Linked DNA regions of Coturnix japonica. The protein of the gene in region 1 binds, or shares a complex with, the protein of each later gene. Links are inferred from orthologs where the notes say so. Each region holds a gene or a part of one and is shown on either strand. Other genes may lie near its edges.

The links.
Region 2: the proteins of NUDT21 (region 1) and CPSF7 are in contact, whole or in part, in a crystal structure (PDB 3N9U), measured with the Homo sapiens proteins. The link is inferred for Coturnix japonica from reciprocal best matches to the Homo sapiens genes NUDT21 and CPSF7. Residues at the interface, in NP_008937.1 of Homo sapiens: Arg68, Asn152, Glu154, Pro156, Tyr158, Tyr160, Pro162, Ala163, His164, Ile165, Thr166, Lys167; in NP_001129512.1 of Homo sapiens: Trp91, Trp92, Thr93, Thr94, Asp95, Gln96, Glu112, Lys114, Phe115, Glu117, Asn118, Arg119, Ala120, Asn121, Gly122, Gln123, Ser124.

What each region holds. Positions count from the first base shown.
Region 1 is NC_029526.1:522,912-527,404, reverse strand, and holds the start of NUDT21 (cleavage and polyadenylation specificity factor subunit 5), read left to right. Parts: upstream 1-1,414; 5' UTR 1,415-1,486; coding exon 1,487-1,602; intron 1,603-2,573; coding exon 2,574-2,774; intron 2,775-3,972; coding exon 3,973-4,036; intron 4,037-4,493. Other genes in the region: prolyl 3-hydroxylase OGFOD1, read right to left, coding at 206-306, 373-419, 879-1,024, 1,108-1,261. UniProt on the Homo sapiens protein: Component of the cleavage factor Im (CFIm) complex that functions as an activator of the pre-mRNA 3'-end cleavage and polyadenylation processing required for the maturation of pre-mRNA into functional mRNAs.
Region 2 is NC_029520.1:299,201-303,718, forward strand, and holds the start of CPSF7 (cleavage and polyadenylation specificity factor subunit 7), read right to left. Parts: upstream 2,921-4,518; 5' UTR 2,900-2,920; coding exon of another isoform or gene 2,887-2,899; coding exon 2,710-2,886; intron 2,538-2,709; coding exon 2,454-2,537; intron 1,552-2,453; coding exon 1,333-1,551; intron 1,079-1,332; coding exon 975-1,078; intron 730-974; coding exon 584-729; intron 1-583. Other genes in the region: SDHAF2 (succinate dehydrogenase assembly factor 2, mitochondrial), read left to right, coding at 2,885-2,899, 3,653-3,876, 3,972-4,081, 4,171-4,301; LRRC10B (leucine-rich repeat-containing protein 10B), read left to right, coding at 4,495-4,518.

The DNA.
Region 1 (4,493 bases):
ATACCAGCCTTGGGCCCTGCTGCAGCTGCAAGCAGCATGACCACAGTAATGGGGAAGGGTCAGGAGGCGTTAGGGACAGGCTGTGGTTCACTGGGTGGTGGGCTCAGCCCCAAGCTCCAGAGCTGAGGGAGCGCTAGGACGCTGCTCTCAGACTCGGGGTTTGGGTGGTGCCATGTGGAGTCAGGAGGCTGGTGGGCAGACTGACCTGTGCTCTCATACTTGGCGCAGGAGATGTCAATGGAGGGCTCCAGCTCAATGTGGGTAACAGCCTCCAGCCACGCTCGCAGGGTCCCGCTCAGCGCCCGCCTGGGGAGCAAAGCACAGGGTGAGGCAGGCCCAGGATGTGCTGCCCCGTGGACCCTGCTGCCTTACCTCAGTGCACTGACGTGGGGCTCCGGCCTGGCCCCCAGCTCCTCGGACTGCGGCAGCATGGGGAGAGATGGAGAAAAGCATTGAAGAAGGTGCTGAAGGAGACCTCACGGCTCTGCAACCCCTAAAAGGAGGTTGTGGTGAGGATGGGGTTGGCCTCTGCTCCCAGGGGACAGTGATAAGGTGAGAGCGATGGCCTCGTGTTCTGTCAGAGGGTCAGGGTGGCCATTGGGGAACATCTGCGCTCTGAAAGAGCAATGAGGCAACGGCACAGCTCAACGGGGAGGGGGGGGGTGTCAACCATCGCTGGGGTGTCCCAGAGTGGTGTTGCTGTGGCACTGCGGGCTGCAGGCAGTGCGCACTCTGTGCTCTATGTCGCTCAGTGCACTCTGTGCTCTATGTCGCTCAGTGCACTCTGTGCTCTATGTCGCTCAGTGCACTCTGTGCTCTATGTCGCTCAGTGCACTCTGTGCTCCCTGTCGCTCAGCCCCGCTCCCGTCCCGTCCCACCTGGTGCACTGTCAGCAGGTCGTTCCGTCTCTCCCTGTATCCCAGGCCCAGCAGCTCATCGCCCAGCGCCGCCGCGAATGCCGGGCTGGCCAAGAGGCCGCGCAACACGCCGTGCCGGAACGGGGCCCGCTCCACCGCTACGGCCTCTGCGGGGACAAAGCGGGCGGTCAGTTCGGCAGGCGGCAGTAGGATGAAAGCCGCTAGACCCCCCCTAGGGCCCATCCCGTACCGTGCCGGAGCGGCTCCCCGCCGTCCCAGGCCGCTGCCGCCCGCTCCCGTAGCTCCACATCACCGATGGCTGCACACAGCTCGGCCTCCACCTCCCGCCGCCCGCGCTTCTCCACACCGCGCCCGCCCGCCGCTCCGCGCCGCTTGGCCCCCATGCCGCCGCCGCACACCGAACTACCAATCCCAGCCGTCCCTGCGTGTGCCGAGCCAATCAGAGAGCGTGGGGGGCGGGGAGAGGGGTAGGGCGCCCTACGATTGGCCAGGAGGGACGACTCAGCGGCGGGCGCCGTCGGAAGTGGAAGGCGGGCGCTTCCGGCAGAGCGGGGCCGCTTGGCCCGCCGGGAGTTGTATGGCGGATCGACTTCCCGCCGCCTCCCGCCATGTCCGTGGTGCCGCCCAACCGCTCGCAGACCGGCTGGCCCCGCGGGGTGAACCAGTTCGGGAACAAGTACATCCAGCAGACTAAGCCGCTGACCTTGGAGAGGACCATCAACCTGTGAGGGCCGCGCTGGGGGCGGGAGGAACCGGCTGGAACCGCTCGGGGGTCGGAGCGGGAGGGGAGCGGTGCGTGATAGTGATAGTGACAGTGATAGTGATAGTGATAGTGATAGTGATAGTGATAGTGATAGCAATAGTGATAGTGATAGCAATAGTGAGAGTCCGGAACGGCGGGGAGAAAAGGGGCCTCACAGCGCTGCGGGAACAACCAGCCGGGGGGACACACACGGCCCCGCCATCAAAGGCTGCACAGGCACCATCCGCTGCTCGGCCACCATCGGGGATGGAGCAGCCCGAACTCTGGGCGGCCGCTGAGTAAAGAATGTTCCCTCTTTTAGTCTTAATTCACTTCATCTTATCGCTGCCTGTGTAAAAAATCACTCTCCCTATGGACCTGCTACAACAGCTCCGTACCCTTCCTATGCTGGGGGACACAAATTCTCCAGGTGGGGTCTCGTGAGGACAGAGCAAAGGGGACAGTCCCTTTTCTCTTCGTGTTGCCATCCCTCAGTTGATGCAGCCTTTCTCTTGCCTTTCCAGGCTGCAGCACACTGTCTCATGTCTCATTTTTCATCCATCAGAAGCCCCAAGACCTCTGCAGGGCTGCTCTTAGTGAAGGCTTAAAGGGACAAGAGAGGAGCTTCCTCTCCCTTTTCTCCAGGCTGCGGAGTCAAAGCAGGTGGCTGCAGAGTAGCTGTAGATGCTTCTGGTTGTGTTTGCCTGTTTCTGGGTTGGCACCATGACAACGTATCCCACCGGCATGACTTCCTGCCCTCATGAGCCATGGTGCAGCCCTTGGCATGGCATGGGGTGTGCAGTGCAGCATGCAACCCAGACCTTGTAGTCCTTTGCAATGAGTGAGTTTCTGCTCCCTCGAGTACAGAAGGCTCAGCTGCAGGGTGAACACTGCGTGCTAGAGGTGTCAATTTAGCTTTCTTATTATGTAGTAATACTTTTTTTCCCCTTTAGGTATCCTCTCACCAATTACACATTTGGCACAAAGGAGCCCCTTTATGAGAAGGACAGTTCAGTGGCTGCTCGGTTCCAGCGCATGAGAGAAGAGTTTGACAAGATTGGCATGAGGCGGACAGTGGAAGGAGTTCTGATAGTGCACGAGCACCGGCTGCCCCACGTGTTATTACTGCAGCTGGGGACGACGTTTTTCAAGCTGTAAGTGCCTGCTTCTTGAAAGCACCTTCTTAGTCCAACCAGAAAATTACAGACCTCTTGAAATGTACATATCGCAAAGTAAGATGTGGCCAACTCTGCTTGGTGTTTTTAATGAGATTCATTTGTTCCAAGCGCATGGTTTGTGAGAACTGTTTTTAAAATGATGAAATTTCCCTCTAAAATGTATTTATCTGACTCTACTCGTGGGTAGTGGAGAGTTGCCTTGGTTCTAAAGTCTCTGGAAATCTTTGTTGCACTCTGGTAGGTTCCTGTTGGAAGCCCTGCTGGTAGTCAGGGTTTGGTCTTACACTGTGCAAGCTGTTATGCTTAAATACACTTATGCTACGGCTGCAAAAATGGCAAACCCTGGGAAATGAGTAGTGGTTATGAATTTACAAACTGCTGGGTCAGCTGGGTATAAGAGGGACAGGAATCTCAATTTGTGAGGGAAGTGCTTCAATTATTCCAGTGTTATCACAACTGGAAGGAAGTTTTGGTCATATGATTATAGTGGTGGTCACGCTTGTTTTCTTATTTTAAAATGGTTCGACTTGGGACAGGTGATTCTCCTTGTATTCTTGGTTTTATGTTTTTAACATTTGCAGTGTTTGGTCTCAGGTGAGGAGTAAAATTATCTCTATATCCAGATTCTTTTTTGATATGGGGCATGTATGTAGATGAAATAGGCACATTGTTTGCCTTTGCAAACAACTATGACGAGAATGTATCTTCATTTTTCTCATTATCCTTGCATGAAATGCAGGATAATTCTCCACTTGAGTTTTATGCTTCCTGCACACGTCACTAAGTACTGCTTTTGAGATTAGAACAAGCACAGCTGGTGTTTACAACCCCTTCTTCAACTTCAGTGCTTTTCTATTATTGTTAAAACTTAACCTTCTAAGTGTCTCTATCATTATTATGTATATTGTTATACTTCATCCCACTGAAGTTATTATTGTTGGCCTGTTTTGCTTTGTTTTGTTTTTTAAGGGGCACGTAGCAGCCATTAGAGATGGTCTTGGTGAAATCTACCCTATTGTCTTCAGATTGGGCATGGTTAGATTTAGAACCTCAAATGCAAAAACCTTGAGTGAATTTGTAGCTGCAAGCATGGAAATGTGTCCAAACTTACCTGTGAAAGTCTGCTAACACTGTAAAACATAACTCTAGCTTTAATCATTGATTATTTTAACAGACCTGGTGGTGAACTCAATCCAGGAGAAGATGAGGTAGAAGGGCTCAAACGCTTAATGACAGAGGTCTGTTTTCTTTTGTTATGTCGCAATACTAGAATGTTGTGGAATGTTGAATGATGTTAGAGTTAGTAGAATAGCCAAAGAACTGCAGCAGTCTCCTCGTCACTTGTCATTTTAATGCTGTAAAATGTTCTCAGGTCACTAACAACAAAGTATTACAGTAAGCTCTCGCTTATCCTCATGAGAGTGTAACCCAGTGGTCTGTCTTCCCCCCGAGTCCTGTGTTCATGTGCAACTTGTGTTTTGGGCTGTCATCAGATGTGCAGCAGGATACACAGCTGAGCACAGTGTGAGGATGACAACTTGTTTTTGAGCCAGTTTTCCCCACGTTCTTAACAACTTTATCAAAACGATTGCTGTCAGGTAGTGTCACTGCATTTCCTTCTTCTCATTGGTCTTATGGCACTCAGTTTGGCTGAATGTAGTGTGCAATTCAGAATGTCCTGTCAGGTGAGGATTT
Region 2 (4,518 bases), on another chromosome or scaffold:
GAACCTCGGCCAAAGCCTTTGGAAAGATGGGCTTTCCTTGCGTGAAATGGGTCACGGGGTCTACAATGAACACAGCTGGCCAAGACCTCCTCGTCCGTGCTCCTGCCAAGTCCGTCCCTGCGGGCTCCACAGAGCCCCCCAGTGCGGGGCCAGGGCGTCACATCGCTGCGGAGTGAGGCTAGGACCATCTATGGCCATTGTAGAAAGCCCACGGCCAGGCCCCAGCTGGAATACTGTGTCCAGTGATGGGCACCTTACCTCCGCAGGGATGGACAAATTCTGGAGGAGATCCAGAGAAGAGCTACTAATAGATATGGAGGGTCTTAGCTATGTTGGTAGGCTGAAGAGCTTAAGCCCATTCAGTTTGGAGAGGAGGAAGAGGAGGCTACGAGGGATCTTCGCAGTGAGTGAGCACCTAAAAGGGGATCATAAAGACTCGGGTCAGGATCTAAGCAGACTCGGCGGCAATTGGACATAACCCCAGAAGCTGCTGGTGGTCTTCCCCCCCACCCCAAGGTCTCATCCTGACAGCTCAGTGGTGGGGCCCAAGGAGCTGCCCGCCATGTGCCTGCGCCCCACTCACGTTTGCGAGCCTGAGCCTCGAACTGGGACAGGTTCTGCCGGGTGGCCAGCCTCACCTCCACCTTATCCCCATTGAGCACTTTGCCAGGCAGGAGCTCCAGCAGCTTGTGGACCGAGTTCTCAGAGGCCACCACCACCTCCGCGTACCTGCAGGGAGGGTCAGTGGTCAGCAGACTCCCAGCCCTTCACCCCCTGGCAGCTCAAGGACCCACACCAAGCAGCATGGAGCTGCGTGCCTCCATCAATCCCCCCTCCTGTTCCAGGTGCTTGTGCTGCTGACAGCCTGTGTTTCATCCTGTACCATCTCTGTACCCCCTCACTGCTCCCAGGATGTGGCTATGGGGGCCCTGGCTGCCCCATTCCTCCTCGTTCCCTTCCCCCTCAGCTCTCACCCTTTCGACTGGCCATTGGCTCGATTCTCTGCAAACTTCAGCTCCACCACGTCATAGACACCCACTGAGCGGATGGTCTGGATCAGCTGCTGGTCTGTTGTCCACTGTGGGGCAGCAAGGCAGAAGCTGGGATGGGGTTCAGTTCCCGCAGCCCTCCCCAGCACCCCATGCCCAAAGGCAGCCATCCCACTGGCTCAGGGCTCGGCTCTGCGGCCTCTCAGGGCTATAAAAGTCCCTTTCCCCTTAGGCCAAGCTCAGCTTGGAATATCAGCTCAGCACAGAGCAAGGAAAACCACTGCTCCAAGCAGCCCTACACCTCCAAAGAACCCTCACTTGTTTGTTCCCCCAAAGCACTCACCCAGGAGAAGCTGCCCACATAGACAGCTGCCCGCTTGTTGCGCAGCCCACTGTAGGTATACAGGATGGCAGGGGCTTTGCTGTTGGCTTTGGGGGGGGGCTCCTGGCGAATTTCAGGGGGTGGTTCCAAGCTGCTGGTGCGGCTCTCGGGGGGCTGCGAGCTGGCAGTCAGCACGTCGTCATACAGGTCCATCTGGTCAGCATTACTGAATTCTGAGTCCTGCAAGGGGAGAAATGGTTAATGGGAAGCTGGGGTTGAAGCTGTGGCTCAGGAAGGGCTCTCTGGGTTGTCAGGGCACACGGGGCTATGCGGACTGCTCTGTTCTGGCCCCGCAGAGTGTCACATCCCAGAGGCTTCTGCTGCCTCGTCTTCTTTCTTCACAGCTGGTTTGCTGGCTGTGACCTCAGCAACTGAGCAAGACCCAGCTTGTTCTATGCTCCACTCTCATGGGTGCACAAGCAGAAAGCAAACAGCTCATGGCTGAGTATCCTGCTCCCTTCAGCAAGTACCAAACCCCTCCTGCCCTGTCCGCAGGCTGTTCCATCACCTGGCTACAGCAGCGCAATTCCACTCCCTTTAAGGCCACCAACTTCCTCCTTGTGCTCTCTGCAGCAGTTCAACCTTTGGCAGGATAAACCCAGAGATCTCAGCACTGCAAAGGCTGAGCCATGCCTTCTCCAAGCCCTCCAGAAAGCCACTCTCTGATCTCTGAGACCGCAGCAGCTCCATCTGCCCATGCAGAAGATGCCGCTCTCCATCAGCAGGCAGCCCTAAGGGTTCACAGCAGCCCAGTATGAAACCATATTCACAGTGATGCTCTCTCAATGACAACCATTCCTAAAGCAAGCCATAACTTTTGGCATTGGGCTCCACTGGCTCCTGTGCCAAAACCCAGTCTGGGTTTATGGTTTTCCACATTGCCTTCCACAGCCTGTGCTCACTCCCAGCTCTGCCCCTGTCCTGAGCAGCCGTTTTTCCTTCAGCTCTCGCTCTGTCGTTCCATGGACCTGCCGTAGAACTGCTCTATTATTTCCTATTCTGGAACAGCTGCTGCTTCTCCCCCCTCCATTCACTCTCCCCCAGACCCCACTTCTATTCTCCCCCCCTCCCCAGCTCCACACCTGGTTGAACTCCTCGTCAGCGTAGATATCAATCAGGTCCACTCCCTCCGACATGTTCCCAGGCGAAGCGCGCACGGCAGGGCTCTGCGCCGAGGGATGAGTCACCGCAGCGCCCTTCTACCCCCCGCACAACCCCCCCGTCAGGGCCCTGCCTGCCCCGGAACGGGGGTCCCACACCCCCCGCCCCAAAAGGCCCGTCCCGTTCTAGGCCCCCCCCCCACGCTCCCGCGAGCGCGCGCGCGCCAACTGCGCTCACCGCCACCTCCAGGGCCGCCACGCCACGCCCCTTCCGGCTTCTTCCTCCCGCCTTTGCCGCGCCCCTTCCGGCTTCCTCCTCTAGCCACGCCCCTTCCGGCTCTCCCTGCCTGCCATAGAGACGAGAGGGCTGGGTGAGCAGCGCGCCCCCTGCTGGTGGTGCGTTAGGAGGAATCATGGCGGTCAGCAGGGTGAGGAGGGGCTGCGGGGTTGCGAGGGATATAGAGAGGGTTGGGAGGTGTTGTGGGGGGCAGTGAGGAAGGTGGGAGCGGGCTTTTGCTTTAGGGCTGTGTGTGAGGACTGGGGCTGGAAGGGAGTTGGGGCCTGGAGGGGGATTGGGGCCTAGTGAGGAATAGGGGGAGGATTGGGGCCTGGAGGGGGAGAACAGGGAGAGAATGGGGTCCGGAGGGGGAGGGGAAAGGGGNCCGGAGGGGGAGGGGAAAGGGGATGGGGATTGAGGCCTAAAAGGGGAGGGGAAAGGGGGATGGGGCCTGAAGGGGAAGGGGAAGGGGGAGGGTGAAAGGGGAGGGGAAGGGGAAGGAAGGTTGAGGCCTGGAGGGAAAATGGACAGGAGCAGGGTCTGGGCGGGTGGAATGTGGGGGAATTGTGGCCCTGGGTGGAAATGGGATCTGTATGTAGGATGGGGGAGATTGGGAATGGGAGGGCCTGGAGGCTGACTGTGGAGCTGTGGTTTCTGAGGACTGAAGGGGAATGAGAGGCCTGGCTGGTCCTATGAGTGGTGGGGGTATTGGCGTTGTGTGTGGACTTAAGGGGGGCATGAGGGGATGGAATCATGTGCAGGGTGGGAGGGATTGGAGCCTGGAGGGGGAACAAGGGGCAATGTATGGGGTCTTAGCAGGGCCTGGGGTGGGGTTTGATTTGGGGCATGGGGGTTGTGGGGCTCTGCTGGAGCTCTCCTCATCCCATTCCCATCTCCTCGGCAGCTGTGCTCGCTGTCTCGCCTCACCCTGTGCCGCCCAGTGCTGGCAATGCTGCGTGCACCACGAGGCTACAGCGGGGCCTCGCAGGGTGACCCGGGGAAGGATGTGCTGGAGATGCCACTGCCGCCATGGAAGGAGCGCCCCAATGAGTCCCTGGACACCAAGAGAGCACGTCTGCTGTACGAGAGCAGGAAGAGGGGCATGCTTGAGAACTGCATCCTGCTCAGGTGGGGCTTTGTGCAGACTGTGGTGGGGCAGAGGCAGGAAGGAGCCTTTCTGTCTTTCTTTTCTGTCCCATTGACCCCCATGTGATCTCCTGCAGCCTTTTTGCCAAGGAGAACCTGAGCCGTATGGATGAGCGGCAGCTGAACCTCTATGACCAACTCATCAACGTTCCCAGCAACGACTGGGACATCTACTACTGGGCCACAGGTACATGTGCACTGCACTGGGCCATGGGATGTGTGGGTGACTTGGGGCAATGCTGAGCTGCTCTCCTTCACTCTGCCTCTTATTTGCAGAAGCTAAGCCCACGCCGGCTGTGTTTGACAATGAGGTGATGGCCATGCTGAAGGAGCTTGCTAAGAACAAGAAGAAGGAGCAGAGGCTGCGGCAGCCAGACCTGGAGTACCTCTTTGAGTCCACAAACTGACAGCCCTCAGGGCACAAGAAATAAAGCTGTGGCTGCGAGCTACTGGTACCAGTGTCCGCTGCCTCCACGTAGTCGGGCTCTGTGGTTCATCCTGTTCCCCTGTCCATCTGTCTGTCCCCATGCCAAGCTATGGTCCCTGCCCTGGGACCAGGCATCACCTTGGTGCAGCACTGTGGGAACCTCAAAGATTTCTATGGGGGCTGCAGGACCCCCCCAT